Linked DNA regions of Ovis aries. The main gene of each other region encodes a partner of the protein of the gene in region 2 in a complex. Links are inferred from orthologs where the notes say so. Each region holds a gene or a part of one and is shown on either strand. Other genes may lie near its edges.

The links.
Region 1: RIPK3 (region 2) and CASP8 share a complex: the UniProt entries of both Homo sapiens proteins name them as parts of the AIM2 PANoptosome complex. The link is inferred for Ovis aries from reciprocal best matches to the Homo sapiens genes RIPK3 and CASP8.
Region 3: RIPK3 (region 2) and ZBP1 share a complex: the UniProt entries of both Homo sapiens proteins name them as parts of the AIM2 PANoptosome complex. The link is inferred for Ovis aries from reciprocal best matches to the Homo sapiens genes RIPK3 and ZBP1.

Annotation. Positions count from the first base shown.
Region 1 is NC_056055.1:203,615,561-203,619,868, forward strand, and holds the start of CASP8 (caspase-8), read left to right. Parts: upstream 1-1,506; 5' UTR 1,507-1,702; exon of another isoform or gene 1,703-3,063; intron 3,064-3,543; exon of another isoform or gene 3,544-3,587; intron 3,588-3,994; exon of another isoform or gene 3,995-4,088; intron 4,089-4,150; exon of another isoform or gene 4,151-4,213; intron 4,214-4,308. UniProt on the Homo sapiens protein: Thiol protease that plays a key role in programmed cell death by acting as a molecular switch for apoptosis, necroptosis and pyroptosis, and is required to prevent tissue damage during embryonic development and adulthood.
Region 2 is NC_056060.1:20,648,129-20,652,292, reverse strand, and holds the start of RIPK3 (receptor-interacting serine/threonine-protein kinase 3), read right to left. Parts: upstream 2,801-4,164; 5' UTR 2,667-2,800; coding exon 2,647-2,666; intron 2,444-2,646; coding exon 2,303-2,443; intron 2,171-2,302; coding exon 1,861-2,170; intron 1,824-1,860; exon of another isoform or gene 1,540-1,823; coding exon of another isoform or gene 1,324-1,539; coding exon 1,178-1,323; intron 1,041-1,177; coding exon 994-1,040; intron 789-993; coding exon 621-788; intron 510-620; coding exon 424-509; intron 204-423; coding exon 1-203. UniProt on the Homo sapiens protein: Serine/threonine-protein kinase that activates necroptosis and apoptosis, two parallel forms of cell death. Necroptosis, a programmed cell death process in response to death-inducing TNF-alpha family members, is triggered by RIPK3 following activation by ZBP1.
Region 3 is NC_056066.1:58,226,221-58,230,525, reverse strand, and holds the start of ZBP1 (Z-DNA-binding protein 1), read right to left. Parts: upstream 2,803-4,305; 5' UTR 2,749-2,802; coding exon of another isoform or gene 2,646-2,748; exon of another isoform or gene 1,337-2,645; 5' UTR 241-1,336; coding exon 1-240.

The sequences.
Region 1 (4,308 bases), on a different chromosome or scaffold from region 2:
CCTGAAGACTGGCAATTTAGAAACCTAATCAGTTAACCCTCAGATCAATCAAGTTGAGAGCCATGGGTGTGTACTAATGTTCAGACACTGATTAACCTTTCAGGGTTTTAGAGAGGCACAAAAACTTCATCCTGCCACTCACTAGCTGAAGATATTTGTCTAAGTCTTTCACCTCTCCAAACCTCAGCTTCCTTGCTCAAATGAGAGCAAAAATAGCATCCACTTCTGCGAATTACTCAGAAAGTGAAATGAACCAGTTTGGGTGGTTATACATGTGGCACACACAGAATTTTTATGCTGTTAGCTGGTGCCTGTAGGCCGCCTCCTTTTTCTTAGGTGACCTTCTGACCTCTGCACATAGGTCATCATGTGAGTTTAAATTTAGCACTCTTCCATCCACATGGTTCATTTCAAATCCTAACTTTTGGGGGAGGGAATAGTGTGTTATGGTGGAAAAATCCTTGTTTTGGATCCAGCTGGACTGAGTTCGAATTCATATATTCATTTGAGCCTCCGCTTCCTCCTCCATGACATGCGGGATCCTCTACATTGTTGGGAGAATGAGAAATAATTGATGTAAAGGTGCAACGTACAGATATTGCATTATTATTGGTGTCGTAGTTTTAAAATCTAGAAGATGTGAAAACAAAAAGGCAGAAAACTCTTTAAAAAATTCAAACAGTTAACAGAGGCAGAGGGTGGGGAGAGGGTGGAGGATGAAGAAAAGCTGGGGAGGTTCAGACTCCCAGAGGAGAGGTCTTCACATCACTGTCCCCTCCCCCCAACACTCCCCTCCCCACCAGGGGCTCAGCACTGGACAAGGATGGTTACCCCTGCTTAGGGCTGGGCAGGACCTCACCCCCTTTTGGTGCTGAATTTCCTCACAACTCAGCTAGAGATCTGTTTGGACCCAGGAAGAGTTCTTGCCAGATGATCTGGGGAGCTTGTCCACGGCTGCAGTGCTAAGATTCAGGCCACAGAACAGAGGAAGCATTTTTCTCTGCAGACCCCTTTCAAGCGAGAATGACATTTTACTGGCCACAGGCAGTCTCAAGTCTCTTTAAAAATTAGAGAGCTGATAAACACTAAATGCAGTGAGTAAAATGCTTTCCAATAAAACACGTCCAGCTTCCTGGTTTTTAGTTTGCATGTTGACATGCAGTTTAGTTGCATGTCTGTGGTCACTTCTGAATGTAGGGAAATTGGGCTTCGGTTCCTTTAAATAAGAAACATTTTCTGTTCAAGTGAGTCACCTCAGTTTTCCAGCTTTCCAAATCAAGTTTATTTTCTAGTTCTCTCTCTTCAGGAATTTTCTTTCTCTCTTCCTGAAGACCAGAGTTTGCCCTTCTGCTGGAAGGCAATGGTTTCACAGGTTCTCTTTCTTTTATCTCAAGATTTTTTAAAGCCCTGCGGAATTTGGTAGCAAATTCTGAACGTAGAGAGGAGAGAACCAGGAAGTGAGTCTTCCAGGGGCAGGCATAAAAGCCTGGTGGAGGCATCGAAAGTAAAAGTAAACTTCTTCCTGGAGGCGTTTCCAACCCCACCTCCTGTCTCCCCCTCCCGCTTGCCTCATTTCCAGGGATTTATCTCCAGCTGGGTTTTAAGAACGAGCCTCAGTAATACGAAGTGTGAAGTTAGGCAGTGTGGGGTCTTGTCGTCGAGAGTTTGGTGGCTGGGATGTTGCCAGGACTGTGTGGAGCAGGTGAGTGCCTGGTGCCCAGTTGGCTTCTGGATGCCGCCTTTCTCACTCGAGGACTTCCCGGGGAAGTCACCTCCCAGTCCTGCCAGAGTGCCAGGTTCTGAGTGGGTTCCTATCTGAACCACAGCCCCTGGCTTTGCTACTTTTTAATCTGAGGACGCGCCAGTTCCTCTGCTGCCTCGAGTATAGGTACACTGTCTCCTGCTGGTTTACTTTAGATTTCCCAGAAGACTTTATTTACCTTTTTATGTTTATTTTCTATACCACTTGTCCTGGGGCAGAGGGTTGAGTTGATCACTCAATCAGATCCCGATTCCCTATAAACCCTTGGTCTTGGGGACCCATGGGCCCCCCGACCCTGCCCTGCTTTATCCATTTTCTTGGATCTCCCCACTCCCCAACCTATCTCCTATCCTCCTCGCTGGCTCCCAAAGTGTGTGTGTTTGCTAGTCGCTCAGTCATGTCTGACTCTTTGCAACCCTAGAATCTGTACCCGCCAGGCTTCTCTGCCCATGGGATTTTCCAGGCAAACATATTGGAATGGGTTGCCACTCCTGTCTCCCGGGGATCTTTGCAATCCAGGGATCGAAACTGCTTTTCCTGCATTGGCACTTGGATTCTTTTCCACTGAGCCACCCGAGAAGCCGGCTCCCAAAGACAACCCTCCGCATCTTATGATACATATCCTTAATTGTTCTGTATCTTTGTGAAATGTACCATTGTTTTGTGTGTGTACACTGTGTCTTAAACTCTGTGACCAGAGCAAGAAAATAATTTCTCTGTACCTCTGTTTCCTCATCATTAGTGGGATTAACACTCCCTCAACAGGTAGCTGTGAGGATTTATTTGATAATAACAGCTTTAGCCACTTAGTGACTGGTGTTGCTCTGTACCCAGTAAGTGTTAGCAATTATTATTACATGTTATGTATTAGTATTCATATTGTAATTTGCTTGTTCTGTTTTTGACTTTTTATTTTTTATTTTTTGCAAGTAAGCACTCTGTACTTTAAGTTCTATGTGTTTTGCCTGCTCCCACTTTGTAACCGCTGCTTATTATTCCATGACGGACAGTCTCTACAACTTATATAAGGGCTATAGAAGAACTGGCCCACCAAGAACTTGGCTGGCTCCAGCTTGCAAACCTTTGCCATTCTGATAGGTACAAAGTAGGTAGCTCATACCTGCGTTGTATTCCCCAGCTTAGTCATGAATTTGAGTATCATTCGCACACTTTGGCCATCTGAGTATCTCTGTCAAGGAACTCTATAGTCAGATCCATTGTCTTTCGTCAGGGTTTCTTTTCCTTGTTGATCTGCAGGAGACCTTTGTATATTCGAGGTATTTCTACTCCTGTGGCACAAACTGGAAACATGGACATGAAAGATGTGGTCCCTGCCTTTGTGAAGATCACAGCCTAGGATAGGAACCAGCCATAAAACAGCAGGACAGATATTGGGTGGATGTATTTAGGAGGCTGCAAGAAAAGAGCAAGGGGGCACTTCCTGGGATAGGATTTAGCCACTAACAGGTTTTCATTCTGTGGCTGCCTTCTCACTCGGAGTTCTCAGGGCAGAGTCAAGGGAAGTTAAGGGCACAAAAGGAACACAGAACCCTTACCTAGCTCTCTGCAGGTGGAGGGGCATTTTCAGCTATCTTGTTAATCCTCTCGGCTGTGAAATTTGCCCTCTGAAAGCTAATACTCCATTTGGGGAAAGAGAACATGTAGTTTCAAAGAAGAGAGGTTTTTTTTTTTTTTTTTCCTCTACTTTAATCATCAGAAAACAACTGATGAGAGCCAAAAGGCAGGGCTAAAGTGAGTTTTGTTCTCTGTTTTATCTCCAGGTCCCAGTCCATGGTGAGGGCCCTGGGATTTTATTTTTCCTTTGGTGAGTTTGGCTGGGCCTTTTGGGAGGAAACAATATGATTCTAGAGTTTTCTAGACCTAGACTGCTGAGGGTGAGATCTTGTATATGAATGTAGGTGGGGGAAACCATGAGAATTTCTGTGGGGGTCAGTAGACCCTCTGAACCATAGTGAGGGCCCATAGTTCCAGAACTCAAGACCACTCAGGAGTGCTCAATGAGTATTATTGAAGGAAACCATTGAAGTCTTAATAATGAACCCATAAAAATCTGTATATTTCTGAAAAGGAAAAGAAAGGGTTCTTAGCTATCATTCAGTTCCTTTTTCCTTTTGGAATGTGGTACAGAAGCCCCGAAGAGAAAATGACCTGCCCAAAGTCACATAGCCAGAGGCAAGTCTCAGATGGCCAGCGTCCCCATCCAGCACCTACCTCTTATTCCACGGGCTCCTTCTTGGAGATGAGGATGCGGGTGCTGCCTGGAGGCTGGCCTGCCTCACTCAGCCTATGGTGACTCAGGAGTTTTGAAAACAGGAAGTAAGCGAGCTACGTTGTTGGTTCTTCATTTGACTCTAATTCCTGTCTTAGATGTACTGAGAGAAGAGGCCCGTGAAGTGGCTGCTGCTGTGAAGGTTCCAGGATTCGCCTCTGGTAAGATCTGATGGGACTTTGGAGAGGAAGGCCTTTGAATCTAGAACTCTCTAGGCTACTGAGAATGGGATCTGGCAGGTTCAAGGGCCCATAGG
Region 2 (4,164 bases):
ACCTGCTCTCTCGGGACCCTGATGTTCTCAAGAAGGTTTGTACATTTTTCAGGAACAGAGCTGGGGCGCCCCTCCAGATTCAGCTTCATCATTTCAGAGCCCAGGGAATCATGGCTTCCTGTGGTTTCCTTAGGACTGTCTATTTCTGTCCTTTCCAGGCCTGGGCTGTTGCTGCCCCTGTACTCAGAAAGGAACTCCTTCACCTGTAGGGATGGGGAGCTGGCTGGGCATGGAGGTGGGAGAGCCGGAGTAAACCCAAGGGAGTTGGGTCCATATCTGTTGCCTGGGAACTCAGGGATGGGGTGAGGAGAGAGGGGACCATGGTCAAAGCTTAGAGAAGGGTGGTCAGTGGGGGGTCACTGAGTGGCCAAGGGGGCCGCGTTTGCCATCCTGCCCAGCTCCTGGGTGGGGGTGAGCACTCACCACGTAGACTGCGGCATTCATCTTTCTACCAGGCGCATCTCCTTTATTTACCAGATCAAGGGCTTTCTGGGTGTTTATTCGGCATTCTAGAGAGAAGGCAGAGTGGGTGGCAGGTCAACAAAATTTCTTTTCCGGGGGAGAAGCCCCTGCTGACAAATTCAGGCCTGTCTCAGCTGCCAGCCGGATGGCCAGCACACCTTGGAAGGAAGGCCTCTTCTGGGGCTCATGGCTCCAGCACCTCTGCATCAGATCTGCCAGCTCTTCCAAGCCAGGAGTCTCAGGCCCAGACGGGGGCAGCTCAGTCAGCGGGGGCCGGATCCGCCTCTCACACACTGCTTCCCGCACCAACAACGTCTGGGGCACTACTAGGGTGGGGGTAGGGGTGTGAAGAGAAGGCATTCAGAGTATGAAGGCTACCCCATCACGGAAAGGGCTGGGGAGTGTAGGAGATGTGAGGAGGGAGTGGGGCAGTCTGAGCAGGTAAACAGGAGGAAGAGGGCTTGGGGTTGGGAGACTGGGGGCTTAGAGGAGGGGGGCACCTGAGGTGAAGGATCCCAGAGTCTGTCTTACTCTCAGCTTCTCTTCCGGCTAGCACTGCCCATGTTAGGATCCCAAAGCTGCAGTAGACACAAAGCTGAGGCCTGACTCAACTGCTGGCAAGATTCCTTTCCATACAGCATCCCTTTGAAGGACCCAGGCAGGTGTAGAAATTGGGGATATATGTTTGGATATATGTTTGGAGTGGGTGCCTTACCTGTAGACATCACTGGCCCTGGAGGCCTTCTGGTTTATATTAGCCAACAGTTCTGGGGCCAGGTAGGCTGGGGTGCACCCTGACTCCCAAGATCCTGCCCCTGACTGTGAGCCTCCCTGAAATGTGGACAGGCCAAAATCTGCCACCTGCAAAAGGGAGATAAGAACGAGGAGATAGGGGATGGAACAAAAGGGAGATAAGAAGGAGATAGGGAATGGGCAGGTCCAAGAAACTCCCAGAACCCTTTCCTTACTCCTCTCCCCCCAAAAGTGCAGGCCCAGCCTTGCAAAGACTGTATGGAGGGTTAGGGGAAGGGTAGGACCAGTGGGGCCCCTGGCTGGAGGCCTGGGTCCCCTCTCCATGGCACCAGGTTGAGGTCTGAGTCTCCTGGGATAGATCAGCTACGGGTCTTTGGAGGCCCGTGGGGTGGGCCTGTGGAACTGACCAGGGTAAGTCAGGTGATGGTCAGGTGATGGTCAAGGCCTCCATCACCTGGTGTGGCAGGGGCCAGAGCTCCAGGCTAGGCCTTGACACTTGGGCAGCCCTGTGTCCAGAGGGAGATGCTGAGGGTATTCAGGAGACAGGGCTGCAGCAGATGCGGGTCCTATGTCCCGTGGATGGGGTTGGAGCAGCTCTGGGGCAGGACCTGGTCCAGAAGATGGGCTGGGTGAGGGTGGGCTGACCTTGGCGTGCAGCTCTGAGTCTAGCAGGACGTTGGAGGGCTTGAGGTCCCGGTGGAGAAGCACTGGGTTCTGGCTGTGCAGGTAGCACATCCCGAGCACCAGCTCCTGCAGCAGGCGGCAGAGGAGCGGCCAGGGCCGAGGGCAGTGGGGCTGTAGCAGCTCCGCCAGGGAGCCGTTCTCCATGAACGGAGTCACCAGAGCCGGCCCAGACACGTACTCCCACTCCAGCTTCTCGGTGACCCCCAGCAGGAGCAGCACATGCTTGTTATGCAGACTGGACATGGCCTTCACCTCCCTGGATATGGCCCTCCTGCTCTCAGGGGAGAGGTGCCGTCAGCTCTGCGCCCGAGCGACCCTCCCCGCCGCCCAGGCCCCGCCCCGCACAGCGGCCCCTCCTCCCCGGCCCAGCCTCCTGGACCAGACCCCACCTCGGGTCACTCACGAGTTCACGATCTTGACCGCCACTTCTACGCCCCAACTCCTGTGATGTGCCCGGAAGACAGAGCCAAATCCGCCCTTGCCTATTAACTCCGGGTTCTCCAGTTCCTCGATGGGCACCAGCGGGGCTGAGGCACCGCTGGGCCTGAGAGAGGGGGGCCACGTAACCAGCCGGCCGCGGGCCCAAGGCCTCCCTACTCCCCTCCGAGGCCCACCCCTCTAACCGCCCCCCGCGCCCACCTCCGTGACTCGGCTCAGCGCTGTCAGTTCGAGCCCCAGCCCCTCCCGTGAGACGCACTGTGCCCTGGTCTTGGCACGAGGCGCATCCATATCTCAGTCTCCACTCACCATAACGCAGAGCCAGACATCAGGCTGGAAGATGAGAGAAGCTTCTGGAAGTTGCGAGCCCCCACGGATGAAAGAGGGGTTGGGGGCGGGGAGAGGAATCAACCTCCAGGCTCCTTCACGGTTCCGCTTCCCGCTTCGCGGGGTTGTGCTCTCTGCCCGATCCACTTCCTTCTTTAATTGATGCCTCTACAGTCCCGCCCCGGGGGCGGGGAAGGGCACAGGGCAGGGTGCAGAACAGAAACTAGTGCTGCTCCCAAGGTGTCAGGTCAGGTCTGGTTGTCGCTGGGTATCCTCACCCTCCAGGAACCCGCAACCACCTCCTACCGCTGGCCTCTCTCCCTTCTTCCACAGGATTCCCAGCTCCAGCGCCAAGCTTGGGATACCGCGGCGGGGTTCGGGGAGCGGAGGGTTGGCGGGGGGCGGGGGGAGTGCGGGCGGTGGCGCTGAGTAGGATGTCATGGTCCTAGGACTCTGTTCTCCCACAGCTGCCCTAAGATCATAGTTAACACTTCTCTAAAGCTCACCACATGCCATTAGCTCACTTAATCCTCACATCAACCCAAGGGGATAGGTACTGCTTTTGTTACTTCTTTATAGGTGAGAAACCACTGAGCGTATAAGCACCTGGCCCAAGCTGACATGGAACTGACGTCAGAGCCTGGCTCTGAACCGTGAAGCTTTGCCGTTTTCACAAAGACGTCAGCTGGTGGGGAAGGTGACGGGGGAAGGTGTGGCTTGTCCACTGGGCTCTATTCTTTCCGAATACAGACCTCTCCCAGGGTGCTGTGGTCAGCTAGGTGAATTGGCCCACCAGAGAGTTGCTGATACTGTGGTGTACACGGCAGTGGAGACACCGCAGAGCCTCTCTGCCCTCTCTCCCCACCCTCCATTGCAAATTCTCTGGTTAATATTAATAAATCTTCCTGACAAACATGCTCTGGACAAGGGTCTTGGAGAACTCAGGAGCTTGGGGAGACTTAAGGATTCAGGGTTGACAAAAGGTGTTCATATTTTACCTGCCCAAGGCCTGACCATAGCTGAAGGTTATGGAATTAGATACGGCCAGCCTTAGGCACTCAGTCCTTCATGGGGAGACTCAACCCTGTGGGTCATGGGGCAAGACTCCCTGGAAGGTGCTCACCTTGTGGAACTTTCCATCCTGTCCAGTGGTCCATGGACTCCTCTAGCTGGAGCAAAAGTGGCCAGCAGTTAACTGTGGTTCCTCCAGAAACTGGAACTCCAGGATACACATCTTGAATTCTGATGGAGTCAGTGCATGCTATTTTTGACCTATTTAGGGAATTCTTAAATTGTAGTCTCTTTAAAAGCTGGTACAAGGTAGGTATCCAATAAATATTTGTTGAATTGGATTAATAAATGAACAACCCAAACTTTTTGAGGCTTCACTGAGATGCTAACCATCCCAGGTGGTGCTCCATAGTCAACAGAGAGGAGCTAGGAGGTTGGGTTTATTTCTGGTTTGGGGTCTCTTCACGTACCTGCGCAGTCGACAGAATT
Region 3 (4,305 bases), on a different chromosome or scaffold from region 2:
CTTGTGGAGGAGCTGGTTGAGCTTCTTCTTGGGCACTTGCAATTTCTTTAACAGTTGGGTGGTCTTCACAGGGGAGCCAGCATCCCTCAACACCTCCAGAATTCTCTGCTCAAGGTCTGGGAGAGGGAGACAGGGGCAGAGACAGAACTGAGGTCCCCACGACCCAGCCTGGGCCGTCAGGCGCCCCCCAGAGAGGGATCTAGGGCAGACGGAGGAACAGAGGTTAACGTAGACACCCATCAGTGTCTCCTTGTCTTCAGGGAGGGGCGCGTGGGCTGCTCAGAAGTGACCTGGGCAGGACAGTCTGGTGGCCAGAGGAGCTGCCAGGCCTTCCGAGTGTCCCCTGCCTGTGTGAGCACTGGAGGACAGATGAGAACAGTCAGCCCTCAGGTGTCCTCAGAGCAGAAGAGAGTGGAGGCGGCAGGATGCAGGAGGGTAAGGGCGGAGCAGAGGAGCCAGGGAAGTAAGGCCTGTCCCTGGTGCCTTCTATCCCCCATCCACCCCGCCCTGTGGAATCTGCTCCTCGGGCTCACCATCCACGGGGGGGTTTCACCGTTCATCCCCCCCAGAAGCCCAGCCGGCGTCCAGAAACAGAGCTTTCACCCTGCTGCCCAACCATGGAGTCCTGGTGGTGCCGCTCCAGACTCTCTCAACCCCTTCTCCTTTCCTCTGCCTCCACTCCCCACTCCTTGTCAGCATCCCCTCGATGACAGAAGTTCCACCAACTCCAGCTTCCCTCCAGTCCACCCTCCTCTTGGCTGGCAGAACCCGTTCTGCCAGCCTCATCTTTACCCACCCTCTACTGCCCTTCAAGTGCCAACCTGTTTGAATTCCTTTCAGCCATACTCACCCCTGGGCCTTTGCACATGCCATTCCCTTTGCCAGGCATGCTCTTCCCCCCATTTCCACCTGTCCAGTGTGAGTTCTCACTCAGACTCCAATGCTGGAAGGCTGTCCTGAGTGCCCTGAGCAGGTGGGATGCTGGTCCTGTGTGGGTCCCCTGCAGAGTGTCCCCAGGGATCCGCTGCTGTGACTGCCAGGTTCACTGTAGTGGTTCTGTGTCTAGCCATGGGCCAGGCATGCAGTAGGGTCTCACGAACTATTAACAGCATTTGAATGGAGGAGGGACTGGATGAAAGAGTGAGTGTCCACTCCTGGGTAGATGTGTGCTCAGATGGCCTGGGCAGGGGATGGGCGCTCCTCCAAGGCCTCTGTTTCCGCCTCCCCTCTGCCAGAGTTAATGGTCCTAAGCAGGATGCCTCTAGGCTCAAAGAGGAACTTTCCAAATAGCCTCTACTCCTCGCAGGCAGGCTCCCATAAACCCAAGCCGGCTGCCCTGTGGGGAGTGAGAGAACTGGTGGGCGCAGAGCCAGCAGTGCATGGCGCTGGGAGAGAAAGTGTCTGCCCCTGAGAACACCATGGGAATGCAAAGCAGGGCCTTTCTTGGGAAGGCCAAGTTACCTTCCCAGGGCAGCAGCCCAACCCTTTGACTTCTGGGTTCTTGCTGGATTCTGAGTGGGCAGCACTAGGGGATGACCTGTTTGCCAGCTCTGCGCTGGGCACTGTGGCTTGCTCTTGTGGGCGGAAGGTTTGCTTTCTTCTGGGGGCAGGTGATGTGCATTACAACCCCTGGGGTCACCCAGCCTGAATTTCACTCACTAAACACTACCCCCGAGACTGTCATACCCGTCCCACCCACTGATGCTTTGCCTAGCCTTGAAAAGAGTTTTGATTCCTGAAAAACCTGCTCCTGGGTGAGCCTCTCTCTCTTCCTCCTCCTGCAGTCCCCTGACCCCAAAGAGGAAATGGGGTCCATGCAGTGAAGGCTGGGCTTGCCTCCCCCACTGAGTCTTCTGGCTGCTGAACCAGAAATTGCAAAATGGGATGAGGTATAAATGATACATCAGTTAAAAGGAAAACCTGCTGGGGAACAAGTTAAATTCAGTTACCCAGTGCCCCTGACAAGTCTCCTTGGGAAAATACAACAGGAACCTGGGAACCCACCCTGGGATTCTGGGCCACTCCCAGTTAACCCCCCTCCCTGACACAGCATATTTTCCTGGGTTTGAGCCAAAATTCTGCCACCTATCAGCTGTGTGACCTCCATTTCCCCATCTTTGAAATGGTGAGATTCATGACTACTTCAGATCATGGTGAGGTTCAGATAGTTACTGATCACAGAACAAAGACAGACAAAAAGCACCTCAGCCCCCAGCCCACACCCTTTCGGTGGGGACCCTAGGAATCAGCTCTGTTCAGTGCCAGTTAAGTTTCGTGTGCGCCATTCAATAAAAGAACAGCAGCAGGAGGAAAGCCACATACAAGCAAAGCAACTTCCCTCCTTCCTCAAAACGAAAGTGAAGGCGGGTGTTCAGGCCCCACGCTCAGCTGTGGTCGCCTGAGTCATTTCACCTGTGCTGCCTGTGATCTCGGGAGTGAGGTGGGAACCTCAGCGGGCTTCCCCTGAGGGTTCCTGCAAAACGCACACGGATTGAACCCGATGCAATGCTCTCTCCCTCTCTTGTTACGGTGGTGCCTTCAGGTATTAGCCTATCATGGTTGTCATCTGAACCAAGAAAAGGAACCAGAAGAAAAGTTAAGTCCAGCCCAGGCACTCCCGCGGGTCCTTAGAAGGAAAAAAGTACCTGTGTCTCCTGGGTCAGCAGGGACCTCGGCCATGCTGGCAGCAGCTGCAGGAAGCCTGGGAGACTTGGAGTCAGCAGCAGGCTCTGACCCTGGGGCCTGCATAAGGTGGGTCCGGTCAAGGCTGTGTGTACTCTTGTGGGCCAGGCTGGTGCTTCTAGCAGCTGTGAAGACACTCCAGCTTCATCCGGACAGCTGTCAGCTGTCAGCTGTTCACACCCCGGAAATGAGGCCCTAGGCAGCCAACCTGATCAGTTTCTGGAGAAAATGAAAATGAAACTCTTATGTGTGGTTTTTGAGAGAAACAAAATCGAAAGCTGAATTGAGCAAGACACAGTTAGGCCTTCTACTAGATATTGGTAGGGAGCTGCTGAGATGGAGGAGACCAGAGCTTCTTCTAGGGCTGGGGGGATTTCCCACCACTGTCCACCTTGACTCCCCCAGCCACAGGCCAAGATACCTGGGTGGGTGAGTGGCTGAGCGCTTGTGATCATCAAAACCACATATGTGTGTGCATATCAAACCAACGACAGTGTTGGTGTACGGCAGAGACCACAACATTAAAAAGCAATTATCCTCTAATTAAAAAAAAAAAGGAGGACTGTTTAATGAGTACTTACTATGTACTTTCCAACCTCATGTGCCCCTGACTCATCTACAGGTTAGGATCTAGTTAGGGTCTCTTTTCTCAGGAAACTGAGGCTCGGGTCAATGAGGCCACTTGTCCAAGATCACAGAGATGCTCAGGTTCTAACTCAGCCCCACCATTTACTGGCTGTGGGACCTTGGACAGATTATTTTACCTATTTATGTCTTAGTTATCCCATCTATGAAATGAGCTAATAAAAGGAGTGACCTCAAGAGGTGGTGGCGAGGACTAAAAGGGTTAATTCAGGCACCTCTACAGCCATGAGCATAGCTGGGCACCCACTGACCTGGTTCTGGAAAAAAAGACCCATCGCTTCTGAAAATTCTTACAGGGGCCATTGACCTCCCCAAACAGTTCAGAGACCCTGCTCAGTCCAGGTGACGGAAGGGGAAACTGAGGCCAACAGAGGTGAAGGGCTTTGTGCAAGGCAGCCCAGAGGGTCAAGGGCTCAGGGTCTCAGCTGAGGCCAAGGAGTAGGTGCCAGTCCCGGGCTCCCAGGGGAACACCATCCGCAGCATTTCTGCAAAGGGAAGCACTTGGGAATAAGTACAGCCATGGAAAGGGCCCCGAAGGCTTATCTCAAAGTTATCTTTGTGTTCCTGAGTCCAAGTTCTCCCGGCTCACTGCACAACAGGCCAACAAATCAGAGATGAGGTGTTGAGGCAAGAAATACAACTTTATTTGGAGAGCCAGCTGACCGAGAAGATGGCATACTATTGTCTTAAAATAACCATCTTATGGGGTCTGGATGCCAGGTTCTTTCACAGATCAGAGGTGGAGGGAGATGAGGAAACAAAGTAAAAAGGCCATTAATCTTGCGAACATCTCAAATGGCGAGCCTCAGGCAGGGGATGTGTTCATTTCTTCCTTCCTGCCATCTACAGGTGGGCAGGGTTCTGAACAAAGGCACTCTAGTTTAGCAGTCAGGCAGAGGGGGCAGGATTCTGAGGCAGACCATTATGGGTGATTATAATAACAAAAGCAACAGAGAGCAAATTAGAAGGAACGCATGT